2 linked regions of the Caenorhabditis elegans genome follow. The protein of the gene in region 2 purifies or fractionates together with the protein of the main gene of each other region. This does not show direct contact. Each region holds a gene or a part of one and is shown on either strand. Other genes may lie near its edges.

What was found.
Region 1: the proteins of mes-6 (region 2) and mes-3 purify together in Caenorhabditis elegans (affinity purification with western blotting, with the first as the bait; 2 studies listed by BioGRID). This does not show direct contact.

The regions. Positions count from the first base shown.
Region 1 is NC_003279.8:4,995,075-5,003,035, reverse strand, and holds the start of mes-3 (Polycomb protein mes-3), read right to left. Parts: upstream 6,198-7,961; 5' UTR 6,193-6,197; coding exon 6,141-6,192; intron 5,520-6,140; coding exon 5,301-5,519; intron 5,241-5,300; coding exon 5,077-5,240; intron 5,026-5,076; coding exon 4,941-5,025; intron 4,395-4,940; coding exon 4,143-4,394; intron 4,096-4,142; coding exon 3,951-4,095; intron 3,644-3,950; coding exon 3,517-3,643; intron 3,465-3,516; coding exon 3,346-3,464; intron 3,247-3,345; coding exon 3,190-3,246; intron 2,800-3,189; coding exon 2,685-2,799; intron 2,636-2,684; coding exon 2,349-2,635; intron 2,303-2,348; coding exon 2,179-2,302; intron 1,482-2,178; coding exon 1,222-1,481; intron 1,175-1,221; coding exon 1,111-1,174; intron 881-1,110; coding exon 686-880; 3' UTR 1-685. UniProt on the Caenorhabditis elegans protein: Component of a Polycomb group (PcG) complex. PcG proteins act by forming multiprotein complexes, which are required to maintain the transcriptionally repressive state of homeotic genes throughout development.
Region 2 is NC_003282.8:8,509,323-8,514,132, reverse strand, and holds mes-6 (Polycomb protein mes-6), read right to left. Parts: upstream 2,850-4,810; 5' UTR 2,697-2,849; coding exon 2,502-2,696; intron 2,448-2,501; coding exon 2,217-2,447; intron 2,177-2,216; coding exon 2,003-2,176; intron 1,959-2,002; coding exon 1,774-1,958; intron 1,591-1,773; coding exon 1,510-1,590; intron 1,432-1,509; coding exon 1,072-1,431; intron 961-1,071; coding exon 807-960; 3' UTR 711-806; downstream 1-710. Other genes in the region: cks-1 (Cyclin-dependent kinases regulatory subunit), read right to left, coding at 28-183; C09G4.4 (uncharacterized protein), read right to left, coding at 367-493, 546-600, 656-710; FYVE, RhoGEF and PH domain-containing protein tag-77, read left to right, coding at 3,593-3,734, 4,732-4,810. UniProt on the Caenorhabditis elegans protein: Polycomb group (PcG) protein. PcG proteins act by forming multiprotein complexes, which are required to maintain the transcriptionally repressive state of homeotic genes throughout development.

The sequences.
Region 1 (7,961 bases), on a different chromosome or scaffold from region 2:
ACTTGAAAGTGGATAGTACAAATAGTTGTGTAAAATTATAAAATTTCCAAAATAACAGAAGCTTCACAACATCCATGGAGTGTGAGTAGAAAGAAGAGTTGTAGAGCAGAGAACAATCAAGGAAAGAACTTATAAAATGGATAGAAAAAAACTTAAATGAAAGAAAAAGAAATGAAGAAAAACTTAGTGATGACTCGTGTAATCTGGAAGATCATTGAAGTACGACGTTCTTTGGGTCAAAAGGTGCTAAAAATTGTAGTATTTTTGGGATCAGCGGTGGGTGGAAATTACTTTTGGCAATTCCATAAATTGGCCAATATTGTTCATTAAAAATTAGTCTCAAAATAGAAAATTAATTTATTTAAAAATATGAAAATAACATTTATTTCAGCTGAAAGATTTGAAAATTGCACAAAAATAGTCTGAAAGTTTCCAATTGCCGAATAGCAAAATTCGACAATTTCCAACTTCCAGGTAATTTTTAATCATTTTTTCAAGTGTTTCAACTGAAACAAATGTTATTTGCAGAAGAATCAAATTATTTTCTATGTTTTCAGACTAATTTTTAATGTCATTTAGTAGAATTGCCACCCACCACGATTTGGTATAGTTGATTGATAAATGGAAAAGAGATTAAACACAGGATTTCCAAAAAGAAAAAGATACAAGGAAAAAAGGGGATAATCTAATTAGAAGATGGTATATCTCGTTGGCGATTTTTCCATTCTTTTTTCAATTGCTTATATCGAACCATGGGCAATTCAAAATCTTCTAATTTCCAGTCAGGGCTGACCATAGCGATGAGATTTATTTGTTTCTCGAATAAAGAATTCAATTTCATGTCGAAAATGTACTGATGGTATTTGTTGATGAAGCCAGTCTGAAAATTATTTATGAAAAATTCAAAAATGCGTTCTAAGTTAAGGCAAATCTTGGCAAAAGTGTTGAGATGCTTATTTTAGTACGCTAATTCATTTTTTGTAGAATCAAAGACTCTGAAAATAATTTTCATTTTCGTTGAAAAGAAGTTTAAAGGTTTTGATTCAAAAATACTGTACTAAGCAATTCCGTACGTTTGCCAATCTAGTCCTGAATGTTCAATAAACTCACCAAAACTCTAGATTTCCATTGTGCTGAGAAGCATCCAGGGCGTTGTCCAGCTTCAGAGTAGAAACTTCAAAAATTGGGTTTTAATATATGACTTAATATTATAACACTTACTGTCTGCATAGAATATTGAATAGTTCAGTTTTTCCACTTGGGAAGAATATTTCTGAAAATGTCGATATAGGACATCCTTCCAAATCCAAACTTAAAGTGGTATTTCCGACTGTTGGAATAGGTTTTCTGGGTTTAACCGCAAAATCTTTGACATTCATCACAGACATCTTTTTATTATATTCGTCCGTTTCCGTCTTCGTTAGTGGATAGTCAAGAATTGTCATTTCGCCATATTTTTGAGCATTCTTCGGAAGATTCAACTGAAATTTGTAATTTTGCTTTAATTTTTTTTGTTTGCGGCGACAAGTTTTTTTTAGTGTTCAGTGCAGGAATCACTAGAATTATCTGAAAATAACTTTTTTTCAACTAAAACATTCGAGAAAGTGTTCAAAATTACCTGAAATTCAATAATTCGATAATTGGCAATCAGCAACTTCCAGGACATTTTTTGAGTACTTTTTCAAAATTTTCAGCCAGAATAAATGTTATTTCCAGATAATTCGAGTGTTTTTCTATATTTTGACATTAATTTTAAATACAAATTGTTGGAGCAACATGTCACAATAGAAAATTTTTAATATCGTAATCAAGGCTGGGATTTTTTGTTTTTTTTTTCCTGTTTTTGGAGTCAATTCAAAAAATTCAAAAAATATAATGAAAGGTTCTCAATTTTTCCTTTCTCACTTTTTTTTTTTTTTTTGGGTTTTTGAGGGAAAAATAGATTTCGCCTTCAGGAAACAATTTTGTTCGCTTTTTCAGAAATACATACAAATTGCTTCTAAAAAGAAAACAAATTATGCAATTTTTTCGAAATATCGGAAAAAAGAAAAATCTTAAAGTTTTGTTTTATTTTTGCAAAAATCAGTAAATCGAAACAAAAAATTCCATTTTCGATTTTAGTGAAAAAAGCGAAAATTATTACAACTTTTATGTCTTTTTTTTAAAAACAATTCTTACTTTTTCTTTTCTCAGGAACTCAATATCTGAATACATGTGAGCATTATTCATCGGATATGCTTCCATAAGACCTTCGATTTTTCCATTTTCTTCGCCATTCAGCTGGGGCACTAAGTCATTTGCTCTGCAAATCATATATTTTTTTACTGGATTGCATTAAATCAAATTACCTGTTCATATAAACATAACGAATATATGGCATATGACCCGAAGATTGTATAAAATCTAATCCATATTTCCGTGTTCCACCTGGTGCTCGATTTCTCGCAGAAAAACATGGTGAATCATCTGAATCATCTTCAATCGTAATAACCTCAATTGGAACGGAAACTGGAGTTTCTTCTCTAACTCTGATCACTCGGGTAGGTTTTATTGGAATGCTTCGTTGAGTTCCAGGACGGTAGGAACACGAATTTTCCAGCAAAGTGACACCAGTTTCATTGAAATATGAATTGATCTGAAATAATTGCACTTAAGCTTTGAAATTATAGTTTTTTAAGAATTACCTTCGTCGGATCGACTGAAAAACACGGCCATCTTGAAGTGAGTCGGGTCAAATGTCTCTTACGTCTTCCGCATAGCTTTTTCGTTCCAAGGAGTAACTGCTTGAGAGTGATTGTACTGTAATTATATTTTCTAAACAATTTTGAAGAACAGTTAGATGATCTATGGTTGGATAGAAACATGAAGTTCCGCGAATATCCAATGTAGTGAGTGATTAACTATAAAATTTAGATGATTTTTTTTGAAGTTCTATCCGGTGTATGCAGATTGCCTTCTGTAATTTTGGACAAAACCCCCCAGTTTTAACTCAAAAATTCTGAAATGCAGCTTCACGGTTTTCAAAAATCACGACAAGCTATTTGGAAGGTATCAATTACAGCCAACTAAGAAAAAAGAAGAAATGCACCCGAAATTAGAAATTCTGTAAGGGAAAAAATCCAGCAAACTTAGTGATTTAAAAATTAGATATTCAAACAAAAAATCAGGTGGTAGGGATCAAAAACGAACTCTTCATATTGCGATCCACAATCCTCATCGCAACTCGTTCCTGGCTCGACGGAGATTCTGAAAATGATGGAAAACACAATAAGCGTGCGGGATTACGGTCGTGCAAAAACCAGATAAAAACAAAATTAAAAAAAGAGAAAAAATCGAATTTCTCACCCAGATTTTAGTGTCGTCCTTCTGGATCGCGGCTGCCATGGAGAGAATTTTGAAATGTCCGGTCTATCGAAATAATTATGAGTATTTGAAGAGAAGATTAGACGAGCGAGATGAGAATCCTGTAGAAAAAAATCAATTATTTATAAAAGTTTATTAACTCTTCATCGTTACCTCTTTGTTATAATTTGTATCGCTTATAAACTCCAAATGCTTAACATTATTCATCCAAGCATTCTCGAGTTCCGGTTCATCGGCCTTCCCGAAAATTTTCAAATACGCTGGCTTTTCTTCTCGATCACTGGAAAAATCAAGAGCAATATTTTTCATTATACAATTTTTTTTGAAAAAATATTTTCTACCGTATACCCGTCAATTTGAGCGCGTGTTTCTCGAAAAAAAATGTTTTTCAGTTTTTTATTTATTTTGACAACAGTTTTCGCTCAAAATCTTCAGAAAACCCCCTTTTTAAAAAATTAGCAGGCCAGTTTAATTTTATAGATTCACCTTCGGATAAATTTTGGAAAAAAAAACTTTTAAAGTATTTTAATTTTTTTTGAATTTTTAAGTTTTTAAATTTTTGCATTTATAATTTTAAAGCGACTTACAGTAAGATAATACGTTGAACTCCGTCATTTAGGCAGTTAATTTCAGCATCCTTATCATACATCAAAGTGCACCCAAAACGAACAAGTTGCTGAAAGTTTTCTGAGGAAGCAGCCGTTTCGAATGATGCTCGAGTTGATTTTCCTCCTACAAAAGAAACTTTTTATTTAAAAAAAAGAAATGATTTCACTCACTTGTCCCAACTCGATTTTCTCCAAGTTTTGGTGTTTTTCGTTTCACAATCACTGCGAGATATACGTTTTTTGCCTTTTTCAGTTCAGGGCCCGTCAAAGTGATATTTTTTACATTTGAACTGTTATAGGAGATAGATGGTAACGTTCTATTCGCCATTGGAATAACTGAGATTCCATTTTCAATGCAGGTGACTGAATCATTATCGTCGACAATTATCACGTAGCTTTGAACAATTGCAGCAGAAGTAACATCTGAAAATGTTCTTTTTTTTAATGAATTAATGAGAAAATAATTTTAAAACCGAAAAAAACTATGTGTGTGTGTATTTTTGAATCTTAATTTACAATTAGAAAATAATTTCATTTTTTTGGAAATATTGTTCTTACTTTTTGAAAAAAAACCTCAAACATTTCAAAATCATTAAATTTGCTTTAAACTATAGGAAAAAAATAATTTTTATAAATTTTGTGTGATTTTAGGAAATTGCAAAAACTGAAAAAAAAAGCGAATTCCGACATTTTCGCGTTTTCTGGCTATATATTTATTGAGTTTAATTCATTTTTTGTTTTATAATGCAAATCAGAACTTTTCAATTTTTTTTGACTTTTTTAATTAAAAAAATAATTTTTTTTAAAACCAAATTTCAAAAAGACTTTTATTTCTTGTGAAATATGGTTTCAATCAATATTGAATAGATATTTTTAGTTCAAAGTGATTTTCTGTTGGTCTTTTTCGAATTAAGTGTTTTTATCGAGATTTCGTTTCAAATTTTTCAAAATTTTCAAAAATAAACTAACAAATCTTCTCATCCATCGAACTTCCCCAGGAGGATATTTTCATGAATTGTAGAGTACAGAAATTATATAAACCATTTTCTCTGTGCTGAAAGAAAAATTTATTTTGCAAATGAATCCATCAAAAATTCAAACAAACCGCATCGGTCTTTAGTCGCGGGAAAAATTCATCGATGCTTTTAATCACACGCCTTCTACACACATATTTCTTTCCAAATAATAATTGTTTGTCGAAGACATTACGAACGAGAAACTTGTTATCTTCCGGCAATCCATATTTTTTCACATAATTGCGAATTTCAACTGAAAAAATGTGAATTAATAGAAAAATTGAGATTTTAATTAATGATTTTTAAAACTAACGTCCGTCACTGCAAGTCGGCAACGTTTTTTGAATATTTTCTAATTTGGTAGGTGGATTCTTTCGTCTACTGGAGCTTGTGACTGGATTTGAAGATTCCCGAGAACTTCCGGCCTCTGATGAAGTTGGAGTTGACGGAAGAGATTTGTTCAAAAGATTTTCTTTTTCTTCTTCTCGACGAGCTGACCTCGATTGTTTTGTCTTGATAAAAACCGGCTCATCTGCAAAAATAAGCTTAAAGTATTAATTCAAAAATGCTAAAAATTACTATAATTTGACAGAAAAAAAATTAATTTCAAACTATAGACAATTACTTTATTGATCTGAAAATAACATTTATTTCATTTATTTTAGCATAAAATTTTGGGAAAGTGTTCAAAAATGGCCTGAGAGTTGCCAATTGCTGATTAAACGAAACATCGAATTTCAAGCCATTTTTGAACAATTTTTCAAATTTTTTCAGCTTAAATAAATGTTATTTTTAGATAATTCAAGTAATTTTCTATTTTTTGACACTGTTTTGTAATAAAATATGATGGAACAAAATGGCACAATAGGTAATTTTGTAGAATTGCCGAAAATAATTTTCACTGGTGGAAAAATTAAGAAAACAGGAAAAACTTTAATTATAATAGTTTAAATTACAATTTAAACAAGAAGTTAAATAAAAAGTTTCAGGCCGAGTTTCTCGAATAAAAAATTAACTATTTTTAAAGGTGAGCGTTGTGTTAGAATACGCGGGTCTCGGCGCGATTGGGATTTATGTTTCAAAATTAATTAAAAATTGATTTTAAGAATTTGATTTTTGTAAATTCCAGTAAATGTCCTATTCTCCAACTAACCATTCTTCCGTTTTCTCCCTCCAACTTTCACCTCTGCCGTCGCCGGAGTCATACCCTGCAATGATTTTTTGTGTTTTAAAATAGTTTAGCAAAGATCGAGATTATCGATTTATCTCGAAATCGCCAATCAGAGAGAGAGAGAGAAAGAAAAATGTGAAACGAACAGCGCAAAAAAGATATAATGTCAGATGAGAGAGACTTCGTTCTGGGAAACTGAGTAGAGAGTATGTCAATTGAGGAGACGCAGAATAAAAAAGAAATTCACATCATATTCAGACAGACGGCTGGTTCGATAAGGAATCGAATGAAGGAATGCGTGGTTATTGCCAGTCAAACAATTTGTTCATTAAAAAATTATACCTATGAAGATTTGTAAAACTTAATGGTTGATTAAAAATGTACCGTAAGAACCTTTTTGCAAAATTAAAAAAAAAATTTAGAAAAGTTCTATGCATGTTTAACATCTATATTTGGTTATTACGGTCCATTTTCTGTCATTTTGAGCAAATTTACAAAATGACTATACTTTATTTTAATTTTATTAACTTTAGGATTATAAAAAATATGTTTGGCTTGATATTTCACAGATATTTCGGATGAATTCTCAATAATAATTTTATTTATTTAAATAGAATTTCAAAAAATGTACGCTCTTTGTTTTTAGAGCCATGAACAACGCGTAGAGGTAGAAAGCGAGCAATGCACTATGCATGTGCTTAAAAACTTTAAATATTAAAAAAATGAGTCATATTGGTCGCGTTCAAACAAGAGCGGAGAGCACGACAAATCAATAAAAGAGAAGGAGCGACGCCTACTCGAGGGAAAGGAAGAGGAGCGTGCGCATGTCTCCGCGTTCGAGAGTTTGGAATTATAATTTGGAACGGATGAGAGACTGAAACCAACGAAATTATATTCCAAGTTTTACAATGAAATTAAAAATATGTCAATTGAAGTTATAAGTTTAAAGAAAAAGGATTCAATTGTTGATTTATCGAAATCACGCTGTCATACATTTTCATTGAATGGAAATGGATAAATTGTGTATTCTTGTTCTCACAGAAAAATAATCTGCGAAGAAAGAAGTAGAGCTGAAAAATGTATTACTAATTTTCTACAGTAAACTCAAAGACGCATAGGCAAAATCATTTTGTAATATTATTACCGTGGCGAGACCCATCACGTGAGTGCAGATACAGTGTACAGCGGAAACATTAGGTCATTATGAATATCAAATGAAAGAAATCGATCCAAAAAAGTATGAAGGGTGCGAAAAAAAGAGCAACAAGTGCATTTTTTAGCTGCCCACTCTTAGAAGTGTGCACTTTATGACATTATAAAACTACATCAAAGGGCAATATAATTGATGAGTTATTGAACTAGATCTAGCTAGATTATTGGACATTTTATTACACTTTCGCTGCGGGAAGAGGGAGTGTTCGAACAAGAGATTATTATAAATCTATTTTGAAGGGAATGAAGAATAAACCTCCATTCGATCGAATTTTGGAATATTTGGCGATTTTTCGTGATTTTCTTTTGATAATTGTACGTTCGAAAAACAATAATTACAAATTATTCAATGAAAAACCGCGAAACTGAACAATTTATGGAACTTTAGAACTTTCTCAAGAGGATAACGGCGGTTTCCACTATTTTACAGTGAAAAATGCATTCATAGACCACCAATAATTTGTTTTTAACCAAAAAAATCAAAAGGATTCCCGTAAAATCATGAGAAAACACGAAAAACCTCTACAAACATCCAAAATTAAACAATTTATTAATTGTCCGAGAGGAGTACACGGCCGAGAATCATTTGAA
Region 2 (4,810 bases):
AGGAAAAAACCTATTTTAAATATTTACCTGTTGAATTCCAAGACTTCTCCACTCTGTTTCGGACATCAATCGATTTTTTGGGATAAGCTTGGAAACATCCTTGGTGACATGAACGTGACGGTACTCGAACTCATCATCTTCGTATTTGTTTGAATAGTAGAAATCATTGTTTCCAGTTGTCATTTTGTTGGTTGGCGTGAGAAGGTGCGACTCTGAAATAATTCATTTTATTAACAAGCATCGGGAAATAGAAACGGACAAAAATAAGGAAAGAATAAAAAATATTGAAAAAAAAGAGAAGAATGGGAATGAGACAAGAGTGAGAATGGTGAGGAACACTGCATGTACAGACAAATCGATAAATGCTCATTGCTGACGCTGTCTGAATTGATCGATAACATCAACAGAGTCGAGTTTCCCGCGTGTTTCAAAATACTCGTCCTTTGACATTGGAATTTGACAGTGCTTGGTTGACCCAGCAGAGGAAGATGATCTGAAATAAAAAAGGTAATAACATGAAAGCTAATAAAATTTTCAAAACTCACTGAACATTCAAAAACGTCTTCTTTTTGTCACTTTGTAAGTTGCTGTCGACTGTCACTGAATTAGAAAAATTAGATAATCAGAAAACGAAAATAATCTCTTCGAAACTCACACATAAAGCTATGTTTAGGTGAAGAATAATCCTTAGAGGAGGTTGGGGATGACATTAGGAACTGCAAAATTGTAATGTAAAATCCACTGAAGATGATCGAAGATGAAATCACAACGAGATATAAAAAATTGAAGGTGAGAAGGAATGATATTCAAAATTTTGCCAGGTCCTTAGCGTCGACAGACGCAGATACACGATCAAATCGACAAACAAATCCTTCGTCAGTTACTAGTACTAGGAATCGGCCACATGTAGAGAAAGAAGCTTGCCGAACTGTACGTGAGCCAACGGAACAAGTGTGAGTCCTGTAAAAAAAAAAACAGGAATTTATACTGGTAATCACAGCAAAAATATTTCTATAATTTTTAAGAGATATCGAACATCTCAGAAATTATTTTTCTTGATATTTTACTTACGGATTGGTTTCTTCATTATTTCTCAAATCGAAAAACATCACAGAACCACCAGCTCCACCGCACACCAGCCATCGTCTTCTTGGATCAACGGCGAATTTGATAAACCATGCAGAACCACTCGGAACATTCATTGTACGAAATTTCGTTGTACACGACTTTGGACGGAGAACATTTCCATGAATGCGATTTTCAACTTCTCCCTTAGGTGGCCCAAATCTCCAAAAATGAATTGCCTTTTCATTGCCACATCCTTTTGATAGTGCGTAGTTAGTACCGATAAGAAATCGAATGCAATCCACATAATCAGAATGCATATCAGTTGATACGGAGGATGGAGTATAAATTGGAAGAAGGCAGCTCCTGAAAAAGAAGAAAACGATAGAACCAGATTCGTTGAAACAACTTTAAAAAAGTAATGGATGCCGAAAATCAACGTACGGTCGGGGTATGAGCTCTCTGTGAAGTTCGAGCAATTGATCTTCTTCTTTGTCGGGAATGTTGCGAGAAACTGCAGACTTTCTAAAAATACAAAAATGAATTACATTATGATTTGATAGCCCTGGTCTCTTTATTTACCAGTCTTTTATCCAAAACTCAAGTTTCAAAAATATTTTTATATACAACAACAGCAACAATTTTCGCGTTAAGGACTGATCAAATACTAGAAGGAACTAGAAAATGTTAGCTGAATAATTGATTTACCTCATTGTTCCTTTCGAAACATACGGAATATCTTGTGATTGTGTTAGCACATTTATTTTATCTTGGTGAAGAGCTTTGCACGCTCGTTCCAAATGTTCCTTTACTTGTTTCACAGATAAATCCCACTCCATGAGTTGATGATCGAATCCACACGATAAAATGAAGTCTCCGTCGGTTGACCAATCCTAAAATGAGAAATTCGAAACGTAAGTAAATTTAATAAACCAACCACAGAAAGAATTGTTCCAGCATGACACTCGAGACCCCCAATAACAATCAGACATGCTTCGTTTCGAATATGATGAATCCGGATAGATTGATCTGATGAAGCACAGACAATCAGATTTGAGTTGGCAGGACACGTACGAATGTCATTGATTTCCCATCCAACACTCCGAAGACGCTAAAACTCCAAATTATTTCAGTAATTTTTGATTATTTACATTCGACAGCTTCCTCGAGACGTAGTCGATAACGTAAATGTGACCCAAAGTTCCACCCGTTACAACTTTAAAGGGATTTCGGTCGTTTTCAGCTTCATATGTGTCGTAACACCAGGTAACAGTGAAGAGCGACTCCTCTCGTTCGACCTTTGATGATTTATCGGTAGGAAAATTACAAGACCACTGCAGCTCAATGTTATTTATGTCGATGGGAACAGAATACATGTGAAGCTGAAAAACAAATATTTATACCTCATTGTCAGTTTCCTGCTAAATAACGCTTACAAAGCTTCCTCCGACAGTTGCAACCGCTTGTTCCTCATCTATTCCTGCGTATTGATTGAATGCACATCCGTAAATAGCTTTCTTCTGATCTTCAAGTAGCTTGGCAGTTAGTACAAAAGGTCGTTTTCCGTAATCCTCTGTACTTCGATCAAACCCGTGAAGATTTAATGATTTGAACTTTTTCGTGTGCTCCATTCAGGTTTTTGGGAAAAAGGCAAGAAACAATATATAACAAAATAAAAACTTCACAGTAAAAACATAAAAAAGTCGATTAACTATCAAATTTGCAGTGAAAAAGGAAAAAAATGACAATAAAAACAACAGAAAAACTAAAATATGGCCGCTCGCGCGCATTTCTCGTTCAAATTGCATTAGTGGTGAAAAGCGCGGCGAGACCCAACGAGCGCATAACCTCATGCACCTTTAAAGTGTTATTTTTTTATTACAATTTTTTGTTCTCATTTTGGATTCTGTTCGAAAGTTCCGGGAGGTATTTGTGATTTCGATTGGGAATATGATAGAAAAGACAGTTGCCAGCTTAAATTTTGTATTGTCGTGAAGTACCACTTCCAATTTCGGAGTGGATTCGAACGGGATTAAGTAGATTTTGTACTCGGCTTTTTTCGCAAGGAGCGAAACTAATAATTTTGTATATTTTTTTTGTATGATCCTATATTGCTACGTGAGCTATTGTCAGTTAAAAAAAATGTTTTTGTGGTCTTTTTCAGATTTCAGAGCGATCAACTTGGGGGTATTCATTCATATTTATTATTTAGTAAAATTGTCCTTATATCAAAAGATCCACTTTGTGAATTCCGTAGACTTCTTTCATTTTTGCTATTTCGAATTTGTCTTCGTCGGCTGCTGACTCATCCATATCCCTGCGTCTCCAATGCCTGATTCTCTGCGTCTTGTGTGATTTTTTGTTGCTTCAACCTGTTCTTCTAGCGGTTGCCTTTTTCTCATGCTGTGACTGTTCCCGTTCATTACTAATTCTTAATTTCATAATATTTTAGTGTTATCGTTTTTTCTTCAATTTTTTAGCCAAAATGTTATCTCGAACGAGCTATAGTTATTTTCAGATCGCCTGTATGAAATATGACATGAACCATCGCAAAAATTCTGATGATACTCCACCGGCGTCTAGGACCGTCAAAGAAATGATGGCAGAGTTTCAAAATAAACTGGACGACGGAGACAACAGATTCCGGAAGCAACCACCACCGCCACCTTGTGAGTCTGAAACAGAGAAGACGTCTTGTATTTACTGTCGACAATTGATTGAGGCGTAGCAAAAAACTTCGTTTGCTTTGTTATCTGTGGAGAAAATAAAAGTTACGAAATTTCTTGAAAAAAAAAACTAAAAAATAATTTTTTTAAAAACTATTTATGTCTGTATTTATTGATAATAACTAAATAGATCATATGATCATAGTATTGAAAAAGAGAGAACCGAAAATCGGGTTGACAATGATTCTGTGAGTTAAAAAAAACAGTCAATTTTTCGAAAAAAAAATCTGCCTTAAACTCCACCAACAGTGAATCGAATTAATTTTTAAAGGAAATTAAGTTCTCATTTCAATTTATATATTCGTTGTTAGAATCTAGACGAAAATTCATAAATATTTTGTTACTATCATTTTTTTTTCTATTAACTTTTACAATATCGTAGAACAACTGATTTCCGTGTTAAAATTGTTTTTTGACTGTTCTTCTTCCTATTGCTTTTTGTTAACGAAAAATGCCCAATTTTCTTCAAAGTTCCTATCAAATCTGTACAGACGCGTGACCGATTGCGAAAGTAGTCAAAAAGAAGTATAAAGGCTTTTCGCAATATTGTTTGCCTAAAGGTGCCACTTGACAGATTTTACTCCTTTGTCGCCAAGAAGTGTACTAGTAATAAATTTTAGAAAATTGGGTTGTGTCCTTATATTAATTACTTGGATTATCGCCAACATTTGATTAAAATAGTCATTCTTGTGTGAACACTTGCCAAAAATATATTCACTATTTAACTTCTGTTGGTATTATTGTTCCACCCCCCGGAAGTGACCAATTTTCCGTCTGCCACTGTGTGTGCCTAGTGGTATGACTCATTTATTGAAAGAAAAACAATTATTTTATCATCTCTCAAAATGAGTGAAGCAGATACAATTACAGCAATTAGATAGTTTAAATATACCTATGAGGTTAACAGATTGGAAGATTCATTTTTAAAACAATTTTGCAGCCCCAAGACGAGCTCCACCACCGCCTCCTCATCGGAAACCTGCATCATTATCTCCACCTCCAGACGATGAGAATACAAT